Xenopus tropicalis: one gene and its partner. The protein of the gene in region 1 purifies or fractionates together with the protein of each later gene. This does not show direct contact. Links are inferred from orthologs where the notes say so. Each region holds a gene or a part of one and is shown on either strand. Other genes may lie near its edges.

Region 1 (3,656 bases):
AAAAGGTTTATTTAGATGAAGCAGGGTTATATGAGCTGGTTTATGCAATATATTTTTAGAGAGACCTACATTGTTTGGGGGTATTGTTTTCCTTTAAGAGAATCCTTATTTCAAATGCCATTGGTGTGCACTGCACACAACAGACAAAATATGTTCATGTCAAGTCCTATTTATTGACACATTTATACATACACTGGGAAGTCACCCTCTTTTAATGTGGAGCTCTGCAATAAAAGTGTTTACTTAATATACACATTATACACATACCTGACCATCTACCAGTGCAGTCAGGGGGAGGTAGTCAAAAAGGTCAGTGAAATACTTCCAGACATTTGCATTTCCATATTTCCTTAAGCATTCATCATAAAATCCATATACTTGTGTGATTTGTCTACTTTCATGATTTCCTCGGAGGATTGTGATGCGTTCCCGATAGCGAACCTGAAAGGTATGAATAGGTTTTTGCAATAAAATGGAAACAGAGACTTCTATCATTTATTATACACAAGTACCCCCAGTACAAGTTATTTATAAACCCTAAATTCATAACCTCATATCAACATTGGCAATCTATCCAGCTAAGTGGCAGATAAGATTCAGTTGTTCATATCCCCCTGAAATAATGCTACATCCCGGATGAAACTAACTTGCATAATGCATACATTGCGTACAGCGCCCTCCCTCAAATTCATTAACGAACAAATTTGTTAAATGAACAAATTTAACAGTGGACCCATTACTAAACCCTGCAGGATCCCATTAAGAACCCTTCTCTAAGTAGAGAATGTACCATTGAAAACCAACAGACAGAAAATGTAATTCGAAAAACTTTGAAAATACAAATTAAATGCAAGATGTCTATGGTGTAAAAGTTGTAAATGTAATTGTTACAGAAAGCGATCTTACTATTCTCTGCCCTGCTGGTTTTGGCTTTTGAAACAATGTAGCAAAGCTAGTTCATTAACAGAAGCAGCATGCAAGGTTTACTTTCTGTACATTGTTTTAAGAGACAGAAACAACAGTGCAGCAAGTCGCAGAAAAATGCTGCTTTTGACAGCAAAAAACTACAAAAAAATATTTTTCTAAACCCCCTCCATTCTACAAATGAGCCTTCTGGCTTTACGGTACAAATGAATATTTAATAACAACTAGAAGAAATATTTATGGCTTTTTAAATAGAACAGACTGGATTATTTATAGCACTACAGCATCATAATGAAATACATATTTTTCATTTATCTATCTGCACATCATATAGGCTGCCCACTTTTTTTTAATGTTTATTGGTGTTACAATAACATGCTTATACATTAGGAGACTTTAAAAGCTTTTTGGATAATATTTGAATTGTATTCATATGTATCATTTTTTTCCCTTCAACATACGATGGCCTTCTATATATATTATATTAGCATTTTTTATTGCTTGTGCTTTTTCTGCTACAAGTTCTTGTTAGGGGACTCTTTAGAACAGTTTTATTTTATTGATACACTGATAGCGCTCTATATTTCGTCTTTTCTACTGTACGTGAATGGCTACTGTCAACTGATTTATCTGGTGTAGTAGGTATAAAAAAAACATTAATATACATACAGGACAGAAAAAAAACACATATCCTCAAGCTCTACTAAGCATTGCCCTATCAACTTGTTGCATAGATTACTGGTTGTTTTTTGTATGTAATCTGTATGTATGTATACACATTTATTGTACAGCACTGTGGCATATTTTGGCATTTTATTATAAGAATACCTTATAATATTGTATTGTTTCATTGATTGCCAGTGGAGCACCATTAATATAAATGAATTATCTTACCTTAAGTGCAACAAGCAGCGTTACAGTTTCAACAGAGTAATATCCTCTGTCAACATAGTCTCCCATAAACAAATAATTTGTATCTGGTGATTTGCCTCCAATTCTGAACAGTTCCATAAGATCGTGAAATTGTCCGTGTACATCTCCACATACTGTGACTGGGCACCGAACTTCCTGGACATTTGATTCTTTTGTTAAGATTTCTTTTGCCTGTAAAATAAACACATTTGCTGTTAACTGCTGTAAACGAGTCATTTGTGATATTAAATCGAGACCTTAATATGCCCTTACATGTGAAGATTTAAGCTGCCAATTCGACTACTTTAGACAGAGTTGGGTTTGAAATCTCCACTTGTTTTGTGCTTTTGGTAGAGGTATGGGACCAGTTATCCAGAATCCTTGGGACCTGGGGTTTTCTGGACAAGGGATATTTCAGTAATTTGGATCAGCATAGCTTAGTCTACCAAGAAATAATTTAAACATTAAATAAACCCAATAGGATTGTTGCGCCTACAGTAAGGTACTGTTTTTTAATTCATTAAAATGGAGTCTATGGGAGCCTTTCAGAAGACTTTCTGTATACAGTTATGTGTTCATATATTCAATGTTTGATTTTCCCATATCTCATATTTTGTGACAGAAGTGGAAAAAATTATAGCAGACTGATAAGTTTCCTGCAAAGTTTAAAGGGGAAGAGAAAAAAAAAAGTTCTAAAAATTGGTTGGTATTTAATGTAAATCAGTTGTAAAATGTTGGTTTCTCCACAAAGGGTCAAAGAGCTAAACACAGAAATTTTAAGGCAGGGACAGTTTTAGTCCTATACTGTAGGGAACTTGAAAATATCTGGGGGCACTGTCAACTGAACAGTAACCCACTGTAAGCAGTGATTAGCACTGATGGGTTCCCATGGGCTACTACCCAGATGCAAATTGCCCAGTGTTTCAGTTAATGACCCCAAAATCTCATTACTGAGGCTAATGGATATTCAACCTGAACCCCAAAGGATCAAGTATCAACTAGAATGCCAGTTTACTATCAAAAGCCAAAGTGGATTTTTTACATTTAGGAATTTGTCACACGGGACTAAGTAATTTACCTAATATCTTTATATGCTGCCTGGTATATATTAAGGCAAGTGGAATTCTCATTTTAGGCTAATGTCACGCAAGGCTCTAGTGCCATTCTCTGTAACCAACTTATACTGTGCATTACATTGTGAGTGATTGACTTATTCTGATCATCTTCATATTGGTGTTCATTAATTATTAGCCAGTCCAGTCTTAATGTTATTGCTTGTTTTTCTTTTTAGGTCCTCTATTATTCATTTTTTATTTTTATTTCAAAACTGATCCCACACAAGGGTATTTTTTAGAAAATAAGCTCTTTTAAACATGGCCCTCTCTCTTTCTTGCATTGCCTATTTGTTTGCTTTTGTATATTACTTTGTATGTTTAATGCATACACCCATTTATTGTACAGCACTGTTGAATACGTTGCTGCTTTATAAATTTGGCAAAGAAGTACCCCTGGGAGACAGAAGAAGATGGCGATATAATGAACCCTGGGCCTTTGCAAATTTCAGTGAACAGGAGCACCAATCAAGTAGGCAATTATACTCATTGGGAGCACCCCTTAGTGATTATACTGTTCCTTTTACATCTGCTGTTTGCATTAAAGGTTTGCTATTGTGATCTCTTTCATATTTCCCTTCCAGTCTGGTTCCAAACTAGAAAGCTACAAAACAGTTCAAAACAAAACCCAACTGCAAACTGTACAAATTATAAAATATATAAACAGTTAACTTGGAGGTGACTTGTCAGTTTATTTATAGCTGCTGC
Region 2 (3,756 bases), on another chromosome or scaffold:
TGAGACAATTTACCATTCGGCCCATACGCTGTGCGAGTAGTCTGAGCGAGCTCTTTACAGGCCTGGATATTCCGGAACACTGCTTCTTCCAATCCAGAATAGTGCTGCGAGAGAAATAAGAAAGCATGCAGCTCACTTAGTATAGCCACCAACAAATATTTATTTATTTATATAGCGCCAACATATGCCAATGCGCTGTACAGAGATATATATATATAGTAGAAAGTGAAGATGTCCCGCACTCACAGGTCTTAGGTTAAATAAAAGGAGTTTATTCAATCCACGCCTTTTATTTAAAGAGCAAGTAAAGTCGATTACCATTGCACAACTTAGCAAAACTTAGTTTACATCCTGTGCATTCTAACACTGCAATGTTCTAATTTAAGTCCCCTGTAAGGAAATATCTACTTTAAAATCAACCATGTACCTCCACTTCTTTGTATGGCACTGCTCTCCCAGCCTCCTCCCAAGCATCGCTGTCCTGGACAGTGTCTGAAACGAAGCATGCGCAGTATGCGCTCCTGCACACAGCATGAAGGGTCACGGGTCATAATCACGGGGTCAGTGGGTGGATGCGATGCTGGAGCATGCGCATTTTGACACTCGTCGTGAAGCCAGAAGCAGGGGGAATTAAAGATGGCGGCGCGTACCAGCAGAGTGAGTGAGGATGCATAAAAGCGATTTTACAACAAACGGTACATATTTTGCTGGTTTTGATTTAGCGTCCTACTCTGTCTGGGGTCTGTATAAGTGCACAATAAAGGATTTTAATCTGCTTGCCTTGCTCTTTAATCTAAGACCTGTGAGTGCGGGACATCTTCACTTGCTACTATTCCTTAATCTGTTGGGACTGCACCCAGGCATCGCTACTCTTTCTGCGATATGAGTGCCTGTCTACAAGCCAAAGAGAGATATATATATATCTTTCCAATCAGTCCCTGCCCCAGTGATCTTACAATCTAAGGTCCCTATCACATTCCCATCAGTCCCTGTCCCAGTGAGCTTACAATCTAAGGTCCCTATCACATTCCCATCAGTCCCTGCCCCAGTGAGCTTACAATCTAAGGTCCCTATCACATTCCCATCAGCCCCTGTCCCAGTGAGCTTACAATCTAAGGTCCCTATCACATTCCCATCAGCCCCTGCCCCAGTGAGCTTACAATCTAAGGTCCCTATCACATTCCCATCAGCCCCTGCCCCAGTGAGCTTACAATCTAAGGTCCCTATCACATTCCCATCAGTCCCTGCCCCAGTGAGCTTACAATCTAAGGTCCCTATCACATTCCCATCAGTCCCTGCCCCAGTGAGCTTACCATCTAAGGCCCCTATCACATTCCCATCAGTCCCTGCCCCAGTGAGCTTACCATCTAAGGTCCCTATCACATTCCCATCAGTCCCTGCCCCAGTGAGCTTACAGTCTAAGGTCCCTATCACATTCCCATCAGTCCCTGCCCCAGTGAGCTTACAGTCTAAGGTCCCTATCACATTCCCATCAGCCCCTGCCCCAGTGAGCTTACAATCTAAGGTCCCTATCACATTCCCATCAGTCCCTGCCCCAGTGAGCTTACAATCTAAGGTCCCTATCACATTCCCATCAGTCCCTGCCCCAGTGATCTTACAATCTAAGGTCCCTATCACATTCCCATCAGCCCCTGCCCCAGTGAGCTTACAATCTAAGGTCCCTATCAGATATATATATATATATATATATATATATGTATATATACATACATATAAAAGCCAATTTGCACAAAGCAGAAGCCTCAACTGGTACTGATGCTAGTGCTCATAACCCCCCCCCCCCCGCACAGAGGGGACCCACTATGGCTGTCGCACAGGGCGTGGCATTCTGCACTTTTTATTTGCCACCAGTCACTAAATAATATATTATTTCTAATGGGATTTCCCCCTATTACTCCACTTACTGTAGGAACGGCACCAACGGCTCCCCTATAGGGAATATCCCGGATACAGACCATAAGTATCACTGCCAGCAATCTAATAATCTAATAATGGTACAGCTTGGCCTTTAATGGCCACAAATAAATCAAAGAGACAGAAACACAGGCCTGGGCCCTTACAGGAACACTATGGGGCCCCTGGAATGTCAGAGAGAGGCTAACTGGAATACAATATGTTTAGTAGAGACAAGCAAGGGTTAAACTGTTTCTACACACCTTTAGGAAGAGAATACTAAATAATTATGTAAATAAGTATTTGAAATTTATATTAATAAAATATTTCTTTTAGTGTTACTTGCCCTTTAAAGCTAAATAACTTTAATTTAACAATTCCCCTACAGCCTCGGGCTCCTAGAGGATGCTGGGAGCTGTAGTTGAAGAGCAGCAGAGATAAAGCGGAGGGATCCCAGCCCCAAGCACATGCCCCGCTATCCCCATGGCTTCTGGAAGCTTCCATGTGCCGCCCATGCCCCGCCACTCCGGCCTCCCCCCCCGCCCGGCCTTACCTTGGCTCCTTCCTTCAGCATCTGGGCAAAGCCCGGGGCCTTGGGGACGTGCAGCGCCATGATGGTACCTGTGGGTGAGCCGGAGAGTGGGAGCGACCAAACGCGCTATCACCGGCACTCAGAGAAAGAGACGGGGGAAATGGGCAGCGGCTTCCCACAACTCCCTGCGGGAAAGGCGCTCTCAGACGATTGGCCGATAGAATCAACCCTTCTCTGAGGCGCCAGGCGCGGAGGGAATCGATGTTATCCGGAGCGGCTGGCTGCCCTGTGTGAGTGACAGCTAGGGGGCGGGCTTTGGGATAGGGGCGGGCTGTAAGGGCAGGGAAGCACAATGAGAGGCCCGGCGTGTGAGCTGTGGTGTTCCTTTATAAGGAGCTGCTTTCTGTCTGGAGCCCACAGAGTTACTGGGACCCCCTGAGGGCAGGGTTAGACGTTTTAGGCCGTGGTATTGTGTACTAGATAGCTCCAATAGCCGTACAGCAGGGTGGGCGTCCCTAAATCGTGGTTGCAGGAACCCTCAATCTCTGGCTTGAAGTGAACTACAACTCCCATCATCCCCCACAGCTAGGGCCGCTTCCACAAGTCGGCCCCTGAGGATAATGGGTGCTTCTGTTATTAGCTTAGGCAGACCCAGGCTGGCACAGGACTGCTACTACATGCCAATGTTATTCATAGGGAAACATAAGGGACAGGCTTGTACCTGTGCCCTGCCATTAGCTTTACATGCTAGCGCAGTCTAGTTGCACAATACTCTGCAGTGCAAAAGATATGATCCACTGCAATAAAATCTAAATTAGGGAGCTCCAAACCAGATCCTTACGCTTCAGCCAAAATCCAGTCATGTGACGGCTGCAGATAATGCCACGGGGGCAGTTAATATTGACTATTATTATTATTAACATTTATTTATAAAGCGCCAACATATCCCGCAGCGCTGTACAATAAGTGGGTTACATACATTGGGCATACAGAGTAACATATAAAGCAATCACCAAATCCAGGCACCCCTTGGCCATCCCTATTCCCCCCTGCGCATGCGTGAACAAAACCACCTCCCCCCCCAGACGCAAGCGCGCATGCGCAGACATTTAAACTCCCATAAGGAGCGCTGGGGAGAAGTCCCCAGCGCTCCGTATGGGAGCAAAATGTCAGAATTTTTGTGCGGCGGGGTGGCATGGCGCCCCTAAGTTTCTGCCACCCTAGGCCCAGGCCTTTGTGGCCTCGCCACAAATCCGGGCCTGATAACCGATACAAGAGGTGAAGGGAGCCCTGCCCAAAAGAGCTTACAA

Evidence for each region. Proteins that work in one complex are often made in the same cells at the same time.
Region 2: the proteins of ppp2ca (region 1) and cct8 purify together in Homo sapiens (affinity purification with mass spectrometry; 4 studies listed by BioGRID and IntAct, with this or other methods). This does not show direct contact. The link is inferred for Xenopus tropicalis from reciprocal best matches to the Homo sapiens genes PPP2CA and CCT8.

What each region holds. Positions count from the first base shown.
Region 1 is NC_030679.2:26,547,414-26,551,069, reverse strand, and holds part of ppp2ca (serine/threonine-protein phosphatase 2A catalytic subunit alpha isoform), read right to left. Parts: intron 2,029-3,656; coding exon 1,819-2,028; intron 442-1,818; coding exon 268-441; intron 1-267. UniProt on the Homo sapiens protein: Catalytic subunit of protein phosphatase 2A (PP2A), a serine/threonine phosphatase involved in the regulation of a wide variety of enzymes, signal transduction pathways, and cellular events.
Region 2 is NC_030678.2:16,664,441-16,668,196, reverse strand, and holds the start of cct8 (T-complex protein 1 subunit theta), read right to left. Parts: upstream 2,663-3,756; 5' UTR 2,528-2,662; coding exon 2,468-2,527; intron 105-2,467; coding exon 14-104; intron 1-13. UniProt on the Homo sapiens protein: Component of the chaperonin-containing T-complex (TRiC), a molecular chaperone complex that assists the folding of actin, tubulin and other proteins upon ATP hydrolysis.